Linked DNA regions of Drosophila melanogaster. The protein of the gene in region 3 interacts with the protein of the main gene of each other region in a pairwise test. Each region holds a gene or a part of one and is shown on either strand. Other genes may lie near its edges. The genes, in order: Cda5, Nipsnap, Hmx and Cerk.

Region 1 (4,968 bases), on a different chromosome or scaffold from region 3:
CTAACTATTGACCATATTTTGACAGGTTTCATATACATAACAGAAGAAATATTTGTTTCAGGAAACGGAGTTATTACGGTTCATTAATGAGTTTGCCAAATCGCCTGTTTTACCAAACGTGGCCAAAGTGTTCTTGGTATACCGATAGAAATTTACAAGGGTTATAATAAAATAAAAAAAAATCTCAAAAACTTTTTAAAAGTGTGCGCGTGGCAGCTTTTGGGGGTTTGTGGGCATTAGAAGGAACGCCGCCAAAGTGTTCTTAGTATAACGATAGCTATGGGCGGTCTGTGGGCGTAAGAGTGGGCGTGGAAAAAATGGATTTGGCAAATGAATATAAATTTACAAGACTGATGAAAATATACAAAAAAATATGCAACAATTTTTCAAAAATGTGGGCGTAGCAGTTTCGGGTTGCTTGAGGTCGTTACAGTGGGTGTGGCAACATGGGACAACAAACTTGCGCTGCGTCCATGTCACTAGAATATGTATGCTGAATCTCAACCTTCTAGCTTTAATAGTTCCTGAGAACTCGACGTTAATACGGACGGACAAGCCTGATCGACTCTGCCAATGGTCTTGATAAAGTATTTGTATATTTTATATGGTCCGAAACGTTTAGTTCAAGATACACTTCGTTACACACTTTTTAATATAGTAACGGAAATAATTAAATAATTTCCTAAACAAAGTCAAAAATATTCAATGCAACAAAACACCTCGCCCTCCATTCACAGAAAAAATCGTGTGAAACACAATCCAGCAAAAATAAATTAATAAATAAAGAATTAGATTAATTCGCATGCCTTGCTCAAACCATCAGCCATCGCCGTTCACCAGAACCCCTTTACTTCAGCTGTTGTTTTACAGCTTTTGCTTGGCTTTGGTTGGCTGCTTTGGCCTAGTTCTTGGTCGTTGCCATGTTTTCAACTCGGTTTTACTTTCAATTCTATGGTTCGAAATTGGCCACTTTACTTTAGACTTTAGAGTAAAGCTATATGTTGGGCATATAAATCGAATTTATCAAGGGCAATTCAGCTGGGTGGTATTAATTCTAAAAGTGATTGAGTGGTCTTCCTTCGATCCCATGCTTGACATGGATTCAAGTCCAAGCCCATGTTGAAGTAGTAAGCATTCTTTAATTTAAGCACCGTAATCCACTATCGAGCGATCCAGAAACCTGCTGCTAAACGAAAATGTAACGAAAAAGGTAACAACATTTCACAATCGCCTTGGTAAATAGTTTCCCAGCCTTCGTTGGCTAGAGGGTGGATATTGTTGTAGTTTCAGAAAACAATAAACAAAGCCCGCTCCCCGCTTGTAGATAGCTTGAAACTGATGGGGAGCTTTGGATGAAATTCTCAGTAAAATGTTGAAATTCACTAAGAATATGGGTCTGGACTACATTTTTCTGATAACTTGTATAACTTGTAAAACGTAGCAAAGCTGCAATGGCGCAAGCGTTAACTTTACTCTTACTTTCAAAAGCTTAAGAGATACAAACGACTCCGCGCGGGTGCAGCAACAACTTGAACAGTCTGTTAATGTAAAGTAACAGTCGGGGCCAAGCGTGGCGCAGACCAAGCTTGGCCCAAAAGCCAGACTTCGAAACTTGGTTGGCTGGCTGCGCTTGCCCAGAGTCTCAAGACACTCGTCCGCACAGTCGCGCTGTATAGTTGTTTCGATTAGGACGTGTGGTTCGCTTAAGCGCACGGTAAGCAGAGACGCTCGAGGGTCACCCGAACTTGTCAGGCGGTCTAAACTGTTTGCAATAAGCCACAATCAATTTTTGGGCTTTCGATTGCTAATTTATTTCGTAAACGCGTCGAAATAAAGTCCACCTCTGACTGGACATTGCAACCAGCCAAAAATTTAACATTTTGTAGAAAGCAGTTTTAACTGCATTTTGCAGTTTAGTCGAAGAGCTCAAGCGTGTGTGTCGGTGGTAAGCTAACTTTGCGTTAAAAAGAAAGTTTACGCTAAATATATATACAAGCTTCGACAAACAAAATAAAAACGTGCAGGTTTTGTTTTATTTTGTTTCGCATTTTCCTCTACGCGCTACAGACTAGTTCATACAGAGTTTTCCAATATGGAGGTGCCCGCGATACCGTACGGGAAATCTAAATCAAACACCGATCTTCGATTTGATCTCTTTGCATTTTTGTCTAGCAATCTTTTCCATGGTAACTACAAAACGAACAGCGGTCATTGCAGTCTCACGTGAAAGAAACTAAAAAACCTAACTAAAAATCGCTTGCCAAAAGCAATGGAGGAAAACTAAGTGTTGTAATCTGTAAACGTGTGTGTTAGCTATGCATCGTCGCGTTGGTTAAAGCCAAACGAAAGCTCGAATAATAGGGGCAGAAACTAAATCTGCTTACAACAATACAAACATGTCCTAACCAAGTGAAGGCACAGCCACAAAGCCGCAGTCGCGGCATAAGCCAGACACACCATTAAGAAAACTGTAACACAAGGCTCAAAAAATCTAAATTGAAAAATTGCGACACTGCCTTCTTAGTTATTTAGCAATTGTTTTCAACAAAACAGAGGTTTTCTCAACGGTAACTGCCTCCGTCATCGGTACGGTGGCTGCTGCTGCTCCCCACTTCCCGCGCTTCCAACCACTATTTTTATCCGAGCTTGCCTATGGTATTTTAAATTCTGTGAACTAACCCCAAAACGAAACTGAACCAACCACATCAAGAAAATTTACAGTTACAGTTACGACGACACGCCATACCTGCAATATGAAGTATTCAACAAGTCGAATAAACATTCTGTGCCTGCTGGGATTGTGCCTACTGCTTTTTAAAACAGGTGAGTAATGCCCACTTCAGTGAAGAACACTCTGCTAGAAATACAAATGGAGGCAAAAACTTAAAAGAGCAAAGGGCTTACACACTTTACCCACTAGTCCTAGAAGAGTTAGCACTTAACCAGATTTTAAGACAACCATGGATAAGTATTCAGTTCATGTATGAACTGAAATCTTTTTTTAAACGTAGATCCGAAAAAGTTTTATTTTTAAGTGAATTGTTTTTACAGTACTATGGATTCTTCTTTTCCTCAATCATATTCGAAACTTCGTGATAGAAATATTATGTTCCGCAAATAAAGCCAAACTTGTTTTGAACACTGTTCCGGCTGCCATGTACGAGCTCGCAATAGTCTAATGTCAAATTCAATCACCGTAGAAGAAGTCAAACCACCAGCTGTTAACCACTTGTGTTGAGCTCTATTGTGGATACTCCGGCTCCGGCTAAACGAGTTTCTTAATATGTCCAAAAATGTATATTTATTTTAATATATATATATATATATATATATTAAGACATTTTACTGCGAAATGTGTTAGGATATATAAAAAGTAAGAGTATTTACATTAGGGTATGTATGGAGGTAAATACATGGTCTGATCAACTGCTCTATTTACCAGCGAACAATAACATAATCAAGCATTTCGACCATAACAAGCCTTACCGTGTCCAACTATTGGTCACTTGGGCTGTCTACTCACCATACTGCTGGGTAATGGTAATGGAATTATGTAAGTTATCAGCCAGCAGCCAACCAAGCAGCTTATGACACAGATATTAATTGCATACAGCTCGCTGACTCGATTGAATAGGTTCACTAAGTGAGTGAGTGTATCGGTGTAACCGAGCAAATTGTGGCTATAATAACTGTTGATAATTTTTAAAACAGTTTGCTTAATTGTTCAGACATTTTTTATGAATGATATATATGCAAAATTTGAGAAAACAAATTGGGAACTACGAAAATTGCTTAGATAACGTGGTAAGGATTAACACTATTAAAATTATAATAACAGCATTAGACGGCTAAATTGTTTTGAGATAGATTTTTTGTATTACCTTTGTGGCCTTATAAAGTGCATATATGTATCTTATTCATAACATATTAGTAAAAACAGCGAACTTGAAATAGCCAAGCCCGGCTGTCCGATCGTCCTCTTTTAAACAATTTATAATCTATCTGCTATACCGATTCGGTCGTTGATACTTAGCAAGAAATATATATACCATATATGGGCACAATTGTGTCCTTCACAGCTTTGAAATTTCTGACTTAAGTGAATGTACCCTCCGCAAGGGTATGAAGACTTGCATGACTTGGTTTAGGCATAGTGGCAACACTTTCCATTTTGATGAACTTTCTCAGTGTTTTGAGTGGTGTTTTTTTAAGCCACAGAAATATATATTTGGGTAAAACCTTAGATATGCCGCCATGGAAATATTTTCATGCGTAATTGCTAGGAAATTTGTGTTAAAACATTTGATGTACTACTGGTTTAATGCGAATGTCGATGGCTGAAAGAAAAAGGTTTGAGGCGGACGAGGCCAATGGCGAAAGTTGAACATTTGCAAGAACATTTGTTTAAGCGCGTGTTTAATGAATAGTATAACAAAGGGGTTTTAATCATAATTCAGTTTCAATGCCAGTTAAACCATTAGTATGGTGGTCACGCCTCGACCTAATCATTTCGTCTCTTTTTTACCGCAGGCAGTGTCAATGCTTACCGTGCGAAAGTTTTGGCGCACGCGGAAGATCGTCATTAAATTACTTCGCTAGGTCTTTGACTGTAACCTGAACACTTTATACGAGCATGTACGACCATTGGCATGGCGCAACTTTGTTTTGCATGCACACAGTGCACTTTCGCTTTCAAGCAGTATTCCAGCGAGTCTGAGGCAAGCTTGAATAAATTTGCACACAGCAATGGTAATCCCTGGATTTCGCAAGGCTCCAGATAATTTGCGTTGAATTGGACGTCGAAATTGTTGTCGGCACAGTACGAGGAGTACCAATAGACTACCAAACGGCAACACCCAACTTTTCTTAGCTTCTGCGCCTGCCCTTACAAGCTTGTTGTTTACGGCGCTACTCACCTTGAAATGCTTACGCATTACAGTTGAAAATTATTTTTGCTACGAAATGGGC
Region 2 (5,777 bases), on a different chromosome or scaffold from region 3:
AAGGGACTGCGGAAAACCCCATAGCCATTCGATTTTCACAAACAATTAACCAATAATATTAGGTATAAACGAGATTGGCTGGTTCTAAACAACGGTTTTAGTTTTAAAGTTGAGAATCAGAAGGTGATTTCATTACATATTTTTGTTATAGTGCCTACGGTGTATAAGACTTTAAATTTGTTTGGACAAATATTCTTAAAAATTTGTTTAGAATTGAATTAATTAGGCAAAAAGATGACATAATAACAATTCCAGATTCCTAAGAGCCAAAAACCCAATGGTTTAAAAAAAAAAGTTTCTCGAACTTTTTTTCTAGTTAATTTAGTGATGATGTTGAAATATCGCACACATGTTATATGATGCCTCTTAAAGAGTTAAGAAACTGGCGGGGATAGCAAAATATTTCGTTTAATTTTCTGTGACTTTTAAAAGTTCATAGAATATGTGCATTAATTAAGTTTGAGCAACTAAGCAGGCAAATCAAATGTATCATACGTTATTATTATGTTATACCACTAATTCACAGGATAACAAGTTTTTTCAAGAAAACAACGATCTGATTAAAACTTTATGCGGTATACTACTTTTTCATCACCTATTATTTTGCTGTTTGTAATTACGGAATTGGGTGGTTCTGCATTTTATTAGAGATGTTTCAATTAATATCCAATACCATTTACTATATTTTGGGATCTGTTTTAAAAACTAACTTATAACAGTTTCATAATTGCTTTATTTTATAAAAACAAAATTGGTTTTGTTAAATTCAAAGGTCGTAGGCGATACACACATAGAGGTTCGTAAAAATGTTGGATAGAAATTTCCACTTTGACCTTAATTATACTTAAAAAAAAAATTAAATGATTGCATATGTAGCTGGCATTATTTACAATAACTATTCAACAGGAAAATAGGCGAAGATGCGTTCTCGGTGTTTTCACAGCTAATTTGTCCAATCGTCGATGAACTTCAATTTCTCAGAACGCTAGAAAGTGCAACACCCAGTGCTAATTATTGTGAGGGCGAGAACTCAGTGGGCGCCAGGACACGGCAGTGCATCTCGCGGATTAATGGCACCGTGTAGGCCACACACTCATCCCATCCGGGGGATCGCCAGGCTGCTTCCCGGGTCTCCTTACGGTCTTGCAGAGATTTGTAACCTATTTTGAAAAGAAGAGCAAATATTAATGTTTGCTTTACAGCTTATATAAAAATATGGCTTCAAAAATTGCTAGTGGCTTAAAATATCCTTTAAACCATTCTAAACGTATTTGGCAATGAAACTCAAATTACTCAAATCTTTTAATTATACTATCTATCACTTACACCAAATGTGATGAACATTGTACAGTCTTCCGATCTGCGAGAAGAATCCGGCGAATGCTTCGTTGTTGTGCTTGCGATAGTTGATGGCGCGGGCCCAGTTGTTTCCCCACTCAATCATGGTGCCAGGTGTCAGTCGGTATGAGCTGAGACAATTGGGTTAATTTAGCTATGCATTTTTGAATTGAAAATACTCTGCAACATACCGCATTTCGTAAATGTTCTTGCCGGTACGACTGGCAATTTGCGGCCAGTAGCTGAATGCCAAGAGATATTGCAGATGACGGGAGCGCAAGAACTTGGAACGCTCCTGCATCAAGCTAAGATACTCGGGATCGTTCCAAAGGTCTTCTTTGGCCTGATCTATCTTCTCGAAGCCTCCTGTGTACTTCCACAGGTGCAGGCACTGATCCATGTCGCCCACTTGAACCGTCCATGATGCCACCAATTCGCAGGAAAGGTTTGCCTTCTTCTCGTTGATCAAAGCGACAGTAGTTTTGCTGTAAAAGGTAAGGGTACTTTTAACAATCTATGCTACTTTCGGGATTTAAAACCACCCGGAAATGTGTTTGAAAGTATGCTATCGAAAATGGACAACGCTTTCAATGTTTATTCTTTAGCTTTGAGTACTCTGCACCTATTTAGTTCTTTTAGGCACCTTTTAAGGACGTTAAATTTCAGTCACTTACTAGTTATTTAAGTAGCTGCCCATGGAATCGGGCCTGACGTTGTGGGTATGAAGGGCATATATGATTTCCTTATCGCTGAGCATTCGACTGTGCGACTCCTTGGTTGGTTCTATTTTCCGAACGAGCAGTTTTGAGAACCATGATTCTGAATCGTTGCGGCTCGGAGTGGTGGACAGAGAGCTAAAAGTATCAATAATGGGTAATTTAAAAAGGTTGGCATAATAAACAATTACAAAATAAACTTACAATATCTTAATTGTATTCTGTATAAGGTAAGATATATTGGTAATACCTAAAAATACATTTTTAAATGATATGTTCTAAGTCCAAACTCTCTAGATAACGTTTTTAATAAGTCTATCTTTCAGATCGAAGATATAATATTCAATTTTTGGAAGGCCACTTATCAATATTAGCTATAAGTAGGCCAATTGAATTGGACCGTGGGCAAAAAATAGATAAATAAGGAGAACGCTATTTCCTTTACACTGAACTTACAAATTAAGAAAAGCTACCCCTGCGTATTATTAACTTTTTCGAATTTTCCAGGGGCAAATGTATTCATAACTTAAAAATACAAAATGCATATATAGTACGGCATTTCATACATGAAGGGTAACTAAAATTCGCACCGTCGTGTTTATTTTGTTTTTGTATACGTTTTTGCTTTGCTGACGTCGCAACGGCATTTTCATTTATGTATGGATGTATACGTACGAAATTGGAACCAAACATACATATTAACGTGTAGGAGTGTGAATGCTAGTGCTGGAAAGGGTACGCGATTTGTGTACCTACAAGGACGGTACCTGGTAGGTACTCTTAATGCTAAGTATGACGGCTTGGAAAATGAGTAAGCAACAACTACTCTGCGTAAATTTAATAACATGAGTTTAGGGAATTCGTGAATAATATATTTAATCTAAAAGACTTAAAATGACTAGTAGTTGAAAAACATAATGTTAATAAAAATGAACCCCTAGGCTGGAGGAAAATTGAATATGAATACCATTAAATATCATTATTTTAAGATCCTTATAAATACTGTTATTTATATATAAATAAGTAAGAATTAAGAATTAATTTTGTTATTTCAATCTAAAAAATTTGAATATACGAGTATATATTCATTGCCTATATTTCATTTGGATTCCACGAATCTGGGCAATTAATAAGTGCCACAAGCTGATATCCAGGTACAGGTACCTGTGCCTACTCGGCAACACTGATCAAATATGTAAATGGACTCAGCTGTGGGCAATTTTTGTGTTCATTTTTTATAGTATATTCATGTTGTTTTTCTTACCGGACAGCGTTGTTGTTGCTTTTGCCGACGGCCAATAGATTACGTAGCTTAAGCATTTTCGATTTATGTAGGATCTGGCGAGTATATATGTATATAGAGCGATATGGGGTGAAAACTGGAAAATAAAATCAGTAACTGTTATCATCCCGATTCGCCATCTCTACCACTGCAATGTGTGTACATTATGTGTACTTTAGTCAAGGTGAAGTCAGAGTCATTTTAACAAGTGCGCCGGTACATGGTCTATGGTAGCATTGATAATAGAGAATGTAGAGCGTTCTCTCGTTTCAACTCTGTCCGATTTCCCCACCCGCTTTAAATTCAGCAATTATTTTGGAAAAATAATAAATGTTTCTCTTTCCACACTAGCACTCACTTTATAGTTATTTGCGGGAGTGTTACAAACTAAAATAATATTTAAATGAAATGTTAACGTTAAAAGAAAACAAAATAATATGCAGTAGAGCTGTCTTAACCACTGACCGATTGTATCGATATATCGCGTCCATGCGCTTGGCTATCGATATGGACCTAAGAGTTAACAAAGTAGTCGTCTTTTCGATTGCATGCTATAGCGATAAGGTGTTTTAGTTTTTTGCGGTCACTCTGAATTAATTACGTTACATTTCAAATTTGTTTAAAAGCTGACTTTGAAATTCATAGTTTTTAAAGCGAAAATGGGTCATTTTGTTAATCTAGGACCACTCTTCTTCTTGGCCGCTCTCATGCTCAAGTCCGATCTGAAAGCTCCTATCCTCGTTCAGTTCGTTTTCTTCCTTCGCGAGCATCGGTAATAGAAAAAATGGCGGTTCGGCGTGCCAAAATGAATTAAATCAGTTTTAATGTTTTTCGGTATTAAAAAGTACTGAAAGTTTGTTAAAATGATAATCAATGAGTGATCGCACACTGCTAAACGCATTTTAACTCATTACTTTTCTTTAAACGATTTAATTATGTGATTTACACGCACACGCGTTTGTGCCGAGAAGTACATATGTACATACTTATGTGTGTGTGTGTAAGTAAGCAGCTCGGCTTGATCTGCTTTTTAAATTTGAGCGCGGTTATATAGTTCACGCACACACGTTTCCGCGGAGAAGTACATACATATGTGTGTGTGCGTAAGTGAGCATATCGGTTTGATTTGTGTTTTAAATTTGAGCGCGGTTATATAGAGTTCATATTTATAATGCTTGCTTATTTATTAAAACCCGACAACCACTTTTGTATGCTTAATACTTTTTGCGAATATATATATAAAATGTATTGCTATAAATTTCAAAATGAAATACACCTGAAAAGTGGACCAAAAAAAGAAAATGGCGAAAACGAACATTTTTGTTCTGCTTTACTTCTCCGCCCGTTTGCTTTAAATTCCATTTCGTTTTCTACCTTCGCCGGTGATTAAAACGGTTACATTTTGTGTTTTTATACACTCGGGCGTACATTAATACATACCTGAGTTAAAAGTGAAATTAAAAATAGCATTTCTCAATATATCGGCCAAAGGAAGGAAATATAATTAAATAATTTATTTGAGCAAGAAGCTAAAAAGTGTACATAATCATAAAGCGGTGGTAAGTAAAAGTTATTTTTATTTCAATTCATACCTGTTAATTTACGATTCCTGAAATCTAAATATATTACGTATACGTAAACGGGGATAAAAAAGTAATCCAAATCTAGAAACGATTTCAATAATTTAAAATCACGACGAGTACGCGGTGAAAATCAAAATCCGTGCCTAGGAAGGGTAAAATGTATTAATTTATTTATTTACATAGGTAAGGTAAAAAGTACTCAACTAATTTACCTTGGTACGTACCCGTAGGTACCGTTTTTGAGCTTTTATTTTGCCGTGAGTACTAATCTTGTAAAAGGACATCTGTTCTCAGAATACTGAATAAGTATGCAACAGTGCGGAGAAAACATCAAACTCTTTTTTTGCATTTTTTTTTTTTTTGCTTTTTGTTAACAATATCCAATTGTTTAAGTCGGTGATCGAAGCAGATCACTGTTTTTTTTTTATAAACAATGCGTTTTAATTATACGATAATCTTTATTCTACTAAAGGTAATACGAAAAATACTCATATGGAAGTTATATTTGTTACTATACATAGTACATACATTTTATATTATTAACCTCTATGTTTATTTTCACACACGTAAGGGGTTTTAAATTGATTGAATAGTTCGGTACTAAGAATAGATATACATACACGATTATTGTGTGCTAATGAGGTCACACATATACATTATTTTGTTATTGTTTTGCATGTATGTACATCGTTATTGTAATCACTGATATGCATTAATTTAATTACTTTCTCTTTCGGATTTTTCTGTTCAACGAAAGCCATATATGTACATACATATATCAATCGGTACCAAAATCTATTCGAGTTGAAGTTTAAAACATAATACGTACATATGCAGTGAATGTATGTATGTATGACT
Region 3 (5,252 bases):
GCCGATGATGATCAACTGATAAGCCAGTCACATAGGCAGCCACACGTCAGCTGGGCTAGCGCCAAACAGCAGGAGGCGACACTTTGTCCAGGACGAGGTCCTTAATTGGGGTAACCACGCACGGGCCACAGTCCAGTTGACTGGGACAGTAGCGACCCTCGGCCACAGAACCTGCCCACCAGCCCGACTTTCCTTATCGAGACGATCAGCGACGCGGGCACGCGTAAATGAAATGAAAATGATCGTTATTAAAAAGTTCGAGGACTAAAACGTCTGGGGGAGTCCCCCTCCCATTCTCTCGTAAAATAAAAGTGCAACTTATAAATTCTCTTGGTTGTTTTTTTTTTTTTTTAATTCAACACATGCGTTAATCGAGCTGCCTGGAAATTCGATCGCTGACTCAAAAAGCCGGCTAAGTGGGGTTAATATGCCAGCGTTTATGATATGAATGAAATGAATAAAAAACGCATTTGCACTGAGACAAATTTAAATTGAATCAATGGAATATGTTGCAAGAGAAATAAGCTCTTTAATGAATAGTACCTAAATAAATATAGATTTATGTAGGTGTACATTTTTCGAGTGCTATTTTTCACAATTAAATTTTACAAAATCCGTTAATATTAGCTCGGACTTGTTTATTTCCAGTGCACATTGTGTATCAATAAGTTGCATTCGCACAACAAACAGCTGTAGAAACGTACCAGTTTTTGTGGGTCAGCTTGGAGGGACTGAGGGTTCATTCATTCGAAAGGACCACGTTTTGCATACGATACTGGAGCATTGTCAGTCCGTCAATCAGCCGGACAGTCGGTTACATTCATTCCCGAAGCGGTGCATTAAATTTCATCTAACAAATGTTATGTAACTCGATAGTCTGGCCAAATTGCAGGGCAAAAATGGTTTAGACCTTTTCTGCATATATTCGAGGTCAGCTAGCGTCCAGTGCAACTAAAAACGGTTCCATTGGATTTGCTTTATCTGTCTGGCATCTGGAATTTGGAATCGTTAGATTCTCGGAGCACAATGGCATGGTACTTTAGCCATTTGCATCTTCACCCACTTAATGTCTCGTGTAACGTTTGCCCAACAATTTTCGGTCTTATCGACCATCTCCCGGCTACCATCTCAGTCCGTCTCCATCCCATTTCTCCTCTTTGTGCACTTCCTGCGAAGAGATTTGTGTCACCTTGCCTTGTCTTCCCCTAGGACGATTATACAAAATTGGCCCAACCCGAGGGCGAACAAGTGGAATGGCAGCCTCTTTGGGTTTTGGGCTCATTGAGGCAAGGCTTGACTTTTTGGTTTCAGTTCGCCGGCGAACGTCCTAATCTGGGTCGCCTACACTGAGCAATAAATGGGTATGGTACTTAAGACGAGTGATTTTTATTATTACAAAAAAAGGTATTCAATGGGAAATCCTTGGGCATATGAAATTATACTCATTTAATTTCAGTAATTATAGGGTTAAAATTTGAATGAAATTTTAGTTCGAGTTTGTATTTTTTTAAAATATCTTGCGGATCAAAATTAGGCGGAATAGCTGAATATCGTCAGAAGTAACTAATTATATATGACAGATGGATGGACTAAATTTTTGCAGATTAAATTGTTAAAATGAATTGAAGTAAAATGTTGACACTAAGATTTTTAAATTTGGCGACTTCATATTTACAAGATTAATCACATTTGAAATGGGAGGGCTATTTTTGACTAGAGCAAGTCTGGAATGTTTTTTAATTACCTGGACAACATGGCCGCATCCTGTGGACCGCCGGCTCCTGGTTGCGGCAACTGCGGGATCGGAGTGATAAGTCCGGCGGCGCCGTTCTTCTTGGCCGGCTCACTGCGACTCAGGATGCTGGAGATGGAGAAGCTGGTGAATCCGTTGGAGCCGGTGGTGCTCTTGCCGCCGCCGCCCCCGCTGCTCCCGTTGCTGTCGTTGCTGTTGTTGCTCAGGTTGGCCGCTGCCACCGCTGCTGCTGCCGCCGCTGCGGCCGCCGAGGCGCAAGTGTTGTTGTGATTGAGGGCCTTACTGTTGTTGTTGTTCAGACTGTGTCCTTGCACCTCATCGCCGCCATTCCGCTCCGGACTCTTCATTGGCGGACTAAGGCGCTCGACATGCGACTGCTGGTGTTGCTGCTGCACCTGCAACTGTTGCTGCTGCTGCTGGCCGGTGGGCGTGAGTGCGTGCTGCAGCAGGGCGGGATGTGTGGCCCCGTGGGCGGGATGCAAGTGGCCAAAGGTGTGGAGCGCGTGATGCAGCGCCACCGGATGGCTGCCCAGGCTGCTCAGATGGTGCTGCAGATGATGGTGCAACACCGCCGGCGGCACAGCGCCTCCGCTGGGACTGTGATGGAAGTGATTGCCGCCCGAGGCGGACGTTGTGGGCGTGCCGGCGGCCGTGTTGGGCGTATTGGAGCGATGGGTAGGCGTGGCCGGGGGCGAACTGCCGTCGGCGGAACGGGCCGGCGAGCGGGCCAGCAGCGGACTGTCGCGGGCAGCGGCGCCCAAAGGACTCGGCTCCGGACTGGACACCACACTGATGTCAACTTCGGCCTCGGAGGAAGACATAGCTTGAGATTTTTGCTTAGATTTGCAGTTTAAACGTTTAATTCAGCACTTTTGTTCTTCAACTTGCACTTGTGTGTGTGTTTTTTTTTTTTTGTTTTATATATATTTGTTAGGAAAATAAAGAATTTTCCAAACCTTGTACACTTCAGTCGTGCCACGAAAAACTCGTTAAGGGAAAACGCCGAGCGCTACCGTTGGGAGAAACACGTCTGCACCGTTTGATCAACGTTTCGCATTTGAATTTAAATGCGGCTGTTAACAGACGCAGTCCTGAGTTCTGTGTTCTGAGTCCTTCGTCCTTTCTGTCTCTGTATGTATGCGAGTGCTTGTGTGTGTCTGCGTGTGTGTGTGTGCTTGTGTTTGTGTGTGGCAAAGCGATCGTTTAGTGTTTTTATTGTTTCAGTCTCTGGATTTTTAACCCCCGGTCTCGTGTCCGGAGAGCGTGGAACTGAAACTGAGACTGAGGTGGTTGGCTGGCAGCCCTGCAAATTCTTTTGGTCTTTGCGCTAAATGGTTTTCCGCACTCACACACACACTTGCGTATTTGCTACCCCTCCTGGGAGGGTGTGTCCCACTCTCTCTCTATCGCTCTCGCTGTCCCTCTCTTTCACCGCCTGGTGGCCCACCCCTTCTGCCGCTCTTTTTCATTCCATTTGCAGTTCGGAATTTCTTTTCGTTTATTTCGACAATTGCACTGCAACCGCATCGACAGACACTTTTCGCATTTTCCTCCTTTACTATTTTTTCTCTGCGGTGCTGGTGGAGTGCGCTTTGGTTTTCCTACCCCCCGAATGGGAAACACTTGGCATTTGGAACGCGTCTAAAGTGGGGGCGCACTCGGCTCGACTCGAATCGCTTCGCTCGGCTGGTGTCTATTGAAATGCCAATATAAAATCAATCAATTGCCACCTAACAGGGGTCAAGTGTTGCTCTGTGGCGCCATTGAAATTTCCCAGCCAGCCAGATGCAAACTTTTTCGACCAGAAAAGTGTGTGCCGAAAATGCACCAGTCGATTGCAACCTTGCGGTTAGCAGATTGAGCGGTGAAAGTTTCAACAAATGGGGTTCGGTGATATAGATAAATCATTGAATTGCTAAAATATCGAAAGAAATAAACAAGCAACTTATAAATTATGCAAAGAAAAGTAAAAGAGGTTTTGTGGGTGTTATCAAATGTATAAAATATCAAATGTATTTATTATGTTTGATAACGAAATGGTGAAGAACAACGTTAATCAAAAACGATATTATCAAAAATACGAGGATAGAAGGTATCCTTAAGAAATTAAGTGAAAGATTTTCAACAATTATATTTAAATAATTAAAAATATGTAAGCAATTTCCCAACGTATTAAGTTATATTTAGTATCGTTCATGTCATTGTAATGCATTCCCGTTTCTTCTTTTATTTGGAATCTCTGAGCTTTCTACCTTATAGCATGTTTCATTCCACAGCGTTCCGTTCCCCAAAGAGAAAACCTCCCCCAAAAAGCGAACAGGCGGCCATTTTTGCGAAGGAGCTCTGCAAACTTTGCAGAAAAAGAGCGGGTGAGAGCAAGAAAAAGTTAGAGAGAGAGAGAATGAGAGAGAGGGCAAATTGAATTTTTAAATGCTTTCGCTTTTTATGAGACAACCACGAGGCATTCAAAGAGTGTTGCAAACGATTTGCTCAAAACAAAACAAACATTATGCGAGTCAATTACCCGTCGAAAGAGAGAGACGGCGAGACCGGAGAGAGCACTCTCTTTGGGGGCGTGGCCAGTGGAGGGCCAATGGGGTGACAGCTCCTCGAAATGTCGGAGAACGCTTTTCAGCGACGGGAAAAGCGAGCATAAAAAACACAACCAAACAAATGGGTAACAAACATTTGCAGCTCAGACAGCGACGCCGAAATATGCGTAGAAATTCATGCGCAATTACATTTATCCTGTTTAGAAGATTGCTTTTGCCAAAGTGCGTCTCCACGTGCTGAGGGCAAGGCGCCACCCTTGCACCCGCCCAGCACCCCCATCTGCCACCCACCACCTCCCATTTCCCCTTGGAGGAGCTGTGCATGTGTGTGTGTGTGTGTGTTGACGGAGCCATCACCTGCGTCCGTAACACATTTTTCCGTAATTTCCCTCTGTGCATTGCTTGTTTTTGATTCGTTTTCGTGTAAGACTTTAGAGTGGGATTGGGGGTGTATAAAAAATAAATCCAATGGGGGACGGGGCTTTTCCGGGAAACAATGGAGTGGGGAATTGGAAGAATTCCGGCCACCTCGACGGTTTCAGAAATAGTGACACTTAGGTGGTGCCCCATTTCCATTTCAATCTCAATTCACAAATGGAAATTGCGTTCACTCAGCACCTTCAGATGATTTCATTTGTGTTTCGCTCTGTTCTCGAGGAAATTTCAACTCGGATTTGATTGCGCTCATTTGGGAAAATTGGAAATGCCATCAAAGAGGTTAACTAAAGGTTACACTGAAAAGTAAAGATCTTAAGGCTTTTAAGGATCACTTAAAAATATTATATATTTTAAAAAGTCTGTTGTACATTATATCGAATTAGAAGAATTAAGAGAAATGTGGTAGCTTAAGTAAAACTGAAAGAAAAAAACAGGCACATTATTATAGGAATCTGTGATAATTCAAATACATACCGTAGGAGATCCTTTTGCCTGTGCAGTTTAAAGGA
Region 4 (4,984 bases), about 12 Mb from region 3:
CAACGTGGGAGTTAGTGGGCCGGATTTTACGTACATATGTATATCAGAGCTCTGAAGGCCTAATCAATACTTTCGTTTATCTATAGACCGAGTTGTTTATAATTTAAATGCCTGTACCATAAACAGAACTAATAGAACTGTGTCCGATTTCTTTTAACTTTGAGCTCGTTGACTCACGCCAACATCTAAGAAGCACATGACAGCAGTAATTATTTAACAAAGCGAAAAAGTCTAGTACATGTAGGTCGATGTGAAGAAGGAAAAGACAGACACATTGCGGAAATGTAAACTAGCGGGTAAATTGATAACCACACAAAAAGTTCGAATGACATGGAGGGGAAATGCTCTAGATATATGTACAGCTGTGTTAAGAAAAATAGCAGTGCTTTGGACTTGAGTGTTTAAGATAAAAAATTCTTATGATTTACAGTTTTAATGGGAAATTTTTTTTTATAATATCATTAGGTATTTAATTTCAAACAATTTAACAAATGTTTCGCTTTTATTTCTTTAATAGTTTCGAAAATATAGATTAAAACAACATAATAGGCAGAAATTCTGGTTTTCAATGAAATAGCAGTGCTATGAAAAAATAGTAACAAAATTCAACTTGACTTAGAACGAACTTAGTCTTTCTTTTTAATATGTTAATTCGGGCCTAATACTTGGCTGGATAGCCTTTGTTAGCCAGCACAGCCTTACACCCACGCGGCATGGAGTCCACCAGGTCCTGGCAACGTTTGGGAGGAATTTTTGCCCATGCATCCTGCACAACTTGCCAAATCTGAGCCTTAGACGTCGGGGACTTCTTCCACACATATTGTTTAATGTCCCCCTACAGGTTTTCAATCGGGCTTAAATCGGAAGATGGTGCTTACCACGGCATTGCATCTATTCCATTTTGGGTGAACCTATTCTTAGCCGATTTGCATCTGCGTTTCGGATCATTATCCTGTTGGAATGTCCATTTTAAGGGCATATTATATTCAGAATATGACAATAAGACATCACTAAGTATATTTACATATGCGTTTTGGTCTATAATACCATAAATCATATGTTATGGACTCATAACCATTGTAAAAAAACAAGCCCATACCAGGATTTTAGGTCCACCGTGATTGAAAGTCTTCAGTGGGTGTTTTGGGTGGTACTCCGTGTTTGGAGGTCGTTAGATATACTGTAGTGAACCACTTCCACCAAATAGCACTATTTTTGACCGATCAGTCTAAAGGATATTACGCCATTTGCAGACTGGCCAGTTTCGGTAGGTTTTAGCGAAGGTAAACCTTGCCTGAATAAGCCTTGGGCTAAGTGGGGGAACCTTTCGTGGACTCCTCGCACTGAAATTTTAACGTCACTGATTCCCAAGTTCAGCTCAGACTTTATGTCCCTAGAGGATGCAAAAGGATAGGCTTTGCTCTAACGAACTGTGCGTCGATCCTCTATCTCTGTGGTTTTACGTTTGGTACCACGGTTTTCGGGCTTCCATTCATATTTAATGGTATTGGATACCATTTTGGCAGCACATTCAAGAGTTTTTTGAATGTCCTTAATGCTTTTCCTTCCTTTCTAAGCTTAAGAATTAACATTCTTTTCTCCTGGGAGCAGTGCTGTCCTCCACCCACTAAAATATAATTTAAAATTTTTTTTTTAATTTTTTGCCCTTTTAAATATACGAATTAACTTAACCAAACTCACTTTTTAGAAAATAATGATCATTTCGGAACTTTACGTTGGTCAAAACCAGGCACTGCTATTCTTATGAACAGCCTAAAAATTGCGATTTTGCTCAAGAATGTAAATAAAAAAAGGATAACAAGAAAAACTAACCGGCTTTTCTTTTTTTTTCCTATCTACACATTCAATTTAACAAAAATAAGTGGAATAAAAAGTCGATTCCGAAAAAGGACATGGAAAAATACCTTTGTATTACTTAGTTTCCTTCGCACTGCTATTTTCTGAACACAGCTGTAGATATGTACGAAATACAAACAAATACGTCAATCTTAAACTCCAGAACTACTGACATTATTAGAATCGTCAACCCCTCCACCATTTATCTCGTTTCACCCTTTTGAGCGTTATTCAATCTTGACCCGCTTTATAGCTGCCAGACATCAGCCCATGTCTGACCTTTTCGACGGTGCACGCACCTCACAGCCAAAATAGCAAAAGCAAAGCTACAAAATATTATAAATAACTTGGGGCAAGTTCCCTTTGACACGTGAGGGGTCATTATTCAGTGCTATAGCGCAGATGGTCTGCTAAGATCAAAGGAAATAGGTACACGAATAGGTTTTCTGCCAATTCCCAGAATACATTGTTATGTTAAAATAAACTATTAGTATATGAGTAAAAATGAAAACAAAGTAGATACTTATTTTTTAGTTGCTATTTACTTGCAATCTATGCTTGGCAGGTCATTAAATTATTATTAATTAAGGTCCCTGAAATCCAATTTAACCCATAGAAGTAGACATTTCTTTCCCAAGGAATAAGTATCGCAGCATCGACATCGATACTTTGCACCACCAAAACAATAACAGTGCACATATACACCGAAGGGTCCCGGTTCGCTTGCTCTAGCCGCAGTGCGTCAGAAGGGTATAGCACCCTGGGAGGGGGGGGGGGGTGGGGTGGTGCAGACAGGGACAGCTGTCATTTCCATACTCCGGGTGCCGTTATCGCAACGCAATACAGCTGTGTAGCACCAACAACTCAGCTGTTGACAAGAACATGTGTGTATACAGGCGTAAGGGTGTGTGCGTGCGTGTGGGGGTATGTGCGTCTGGCTTGAGTTCTCTGCGTTTAATTCCAACTTGGGTGCTCGTGTACCTACTTATTCTCGATCCTAGTCCGTTCTTCCAATTGGAGTGCCAGTGTGAACTGGTTGGGGAACTCACCTGGTGGCCAGGTAGGAACGTTTATCCATACAAACACGGCTGCACTTTCGAAGTCGTTGCGCTGTTTTTCCGTCTGTTTATGGGGAAATCAAGAAAACTCGATACGGATGTGCATTGCAGTTTCGCACACTTGCACTTTTTCGCTTGCACACAAACAAATGCACACACACAATTGGAAAATAGCCGACGTGCAATTGGTGCTAATGGCGTTTCGGCATCTCCCGGTTTCCCGTTTTAGCCACACTTTCCACCCCCTACTCGCTGGAGCACAAAGAATTTACGAGAACACCAGAAATGCACTTCCGTGGCCGTTACAAAAAACACAGGCGGACAAATCGAAGCGAAGTGTACGTCCGCTCGCCAGTGTGACCGTACATATAACTGTGGAAAATACGAGGCAGACCACCTGACTTGATTGAAATACCACATAGTTTGGTCTGGGGTATTCTCAAGTCTGGCGAGAACTAGGGCTACCTTAAAATTAACGGCATCTTCACCCAAAAATAACTGTGCCCGATATTTTTTTTTAAGTTTTCTCACCATTAAATACTACACTACTAATACACTACTCCCCAGGATCAAATCACTCATCCCAGCATCCACATCATCCCAAAACTCTACTGCAGCCGCCAGATAACCAACAACATTAGCTGCGCAGCTTGCAGCAATTGCTCAACGGTCACCAATGACACCGTGTTGGGCGGGAGTCTCCAGCGGGTTACGGTTGGTCCTTGTGTCGATGTGGGGACTCCGGACTTCTTCCAGGTAAAGTAGTTCAGCTATGAGTTCAGTCGGGTTCAAAATTGGTTGGTGGCCAATATAGCCATTTTGTCAATTTGCAGAAGACACAACAACTGCTCAAGGTCATACTCCTAGACTCACGGATAAGATATTCATCCAGGAACCAAAAAAGGAAAAAATAAATTTAAAATGTTAAGAATTATTTTATAATCAATTTTTTTCACTTTTGTTTAAATCCGATTGGCGAAGTGATTGTTACGCGTACATACATTATACATAAATTATCAAGGAATTCTCCTGCATTTAATTTCGAAATTCCTCGGGATTTCCGCTGGAATCTATTTCAATAGGTTGCACTTTAGTAGAATATTACTTTCGTACATTTAATTTTAAAATAGTTTTAAGAGACATCTGATACTAGGTATCTGATAGCCTGGTCATCCTAATTTCGTGTTCGCTTTTGTTATTTTCGTTACTCGAAGAGTGTAAGGTAAATTGAATTATAAGAAAAGTAGGCAAAACTTAGGATAAGCAATAGTTCGGGCATTCGACCAAAGCGTTCTCATGATTTCAGCTTTCTCTTTTTATTATTTGGTAATAGGACATACGACTATACTTTTTTTTTTTTTTTTTTTTGTTAATTCCAAATAAAACTGCAGAAATTTAAACATTAATTGGGCTTAACTAAACCAGTGGAGTCCATAAGTTTATAAGTAATCTAATGGAGTGCTATTGATAATTATTTTCAAACTGTTAATTTATAGATATATTTGGTCATACAAACTTTTTAAAGCGTAAATGAATGCAAAGAACGCAGGGTATACAAAACCCGATTAGAGATCTCGATCCGGAATTGTCAGTTTTGATTTACCAGCTTGTAGGACAGCCTGTAGGGACAATTAATTACACCTAAGCCCTAACTTTCGGAAAATGTGTGAGTATCAAATGGACTGTAGACCGCCACCCGCAGCGCGCTAATCCTTCCGCCAGCAGCGTCTCCGTGTGGCAAGTGCAACAACTGTCCCTGCGGCACCAGCGGCGGAGCCCCACCCCCCCAGCAGCCGCCCCACAGGCCACCCCCCTCGTACGCCCACCAGCCGCAGCAGCAGCCGGACAGCTGTCCCTATCCGGGTCCGCGGGGCCAGGGAGCAGGCGGGTGCCAGGTCAACTCGACGCAGCCGCCGGGCGATCCCGCCGCATGCAGCCTCTACCAGAGCCGGGGAGCCCCCACCGTGGAGTGCACGTGCACTCAGAACCGTAGCCGGCCACCTCCGCCATCCGTTCAGGCGGACCACATCACGTGCAGCCGGGGTCCGCGGGAGCAGCCGCCTGCCCTG

Evidence for each region.
Region 1: the proteins of Hmx (region 3) and Cda5 interact in a two-hybrid assay, tested with the Drosophila melanogaster proteins (one large-scale study listed by BioGRID).
Region 2: the proteins of Hmx (region 3) and Nipsnap interact in a two-hybrid assay, tested with the Drosophila melanogaster proteins (one large-scale study listed by BioGRID).
Region 4: the proteins of Hmx (region 3) and Cerk interact in a two-hybrid assay, tested with the Drosophila melanogaster proteins (one large-scale study listed by BioGRID).

The regions. Positions count from the first base shown.
Region 1 is NT_033779.5:55,936-60,903, reverse strand, and holds the start of Cda5 (chitin deacetylase-like 5), read left to right. Parts: upstream 1-1,635; 5' UTR 1,636-1,714; exon of another isoform or gene 1,715-1,945; intron 1,946-2,172; exon of another isoform or gene 2,173-2,655; intron 2,656-2,710; exon of another isoform or gene 2,711-2,721; 5' UTR 2,722-2,753; coding exon 2,754-2,823; intron 2,824-4,968.
Region 2 is NC_004354.4:16,069,709-16,075,485, forward strand, and holds Nipsnap (nipsnap), read right to left. Parts: upstream 3,861-5,777; 5' UTR 3,802-3,860; exon of another isoform or gene 3,724-3,801; 5' UTR 3,695-3,723; intron 3,575-3,694; exon of another isoform or gene 3,393-3,574; 5' UTR 3,375-3,392; coding exon 3,319-3,374; intron 2,193-3,318; coding exon 2,013-2,192; intron 1,824-2,012; coding exon 1,530-1,823; intron 1,470-1,529; coding exon 1,327-1,469; intron 1,161-1,326; coding exon 1,012-1,160; 3' UTR 657-1,011; downstream 1-656.
Region 3 is NT_033777.3:17,556,686-17,561,937, reverse strand, and holds the start of Hmx (H6-like-homeobox), read right to left. Parts: upstream 3,009-5,252; 5' UTR 2,575-3,008; coding exon 1,745-2,574; intron 1-1,744. UniProt on the Drosophila melanogaster protein: Transcription factor involved in specification of neuronal cell types.
Region 4 is NT_033777.3:5,365,015-5,369,998, forward strand, and holds the start of Cerk (ceramide kinase), read right to left. Parts: upstream 3,293-4,984; 5' UTR 2,907-3,292; intron 1-2,906. Other genes in the region: CG31542 (uncharacterized protein), read left to right, coding at 4,578-4,581, 4,641-4,984.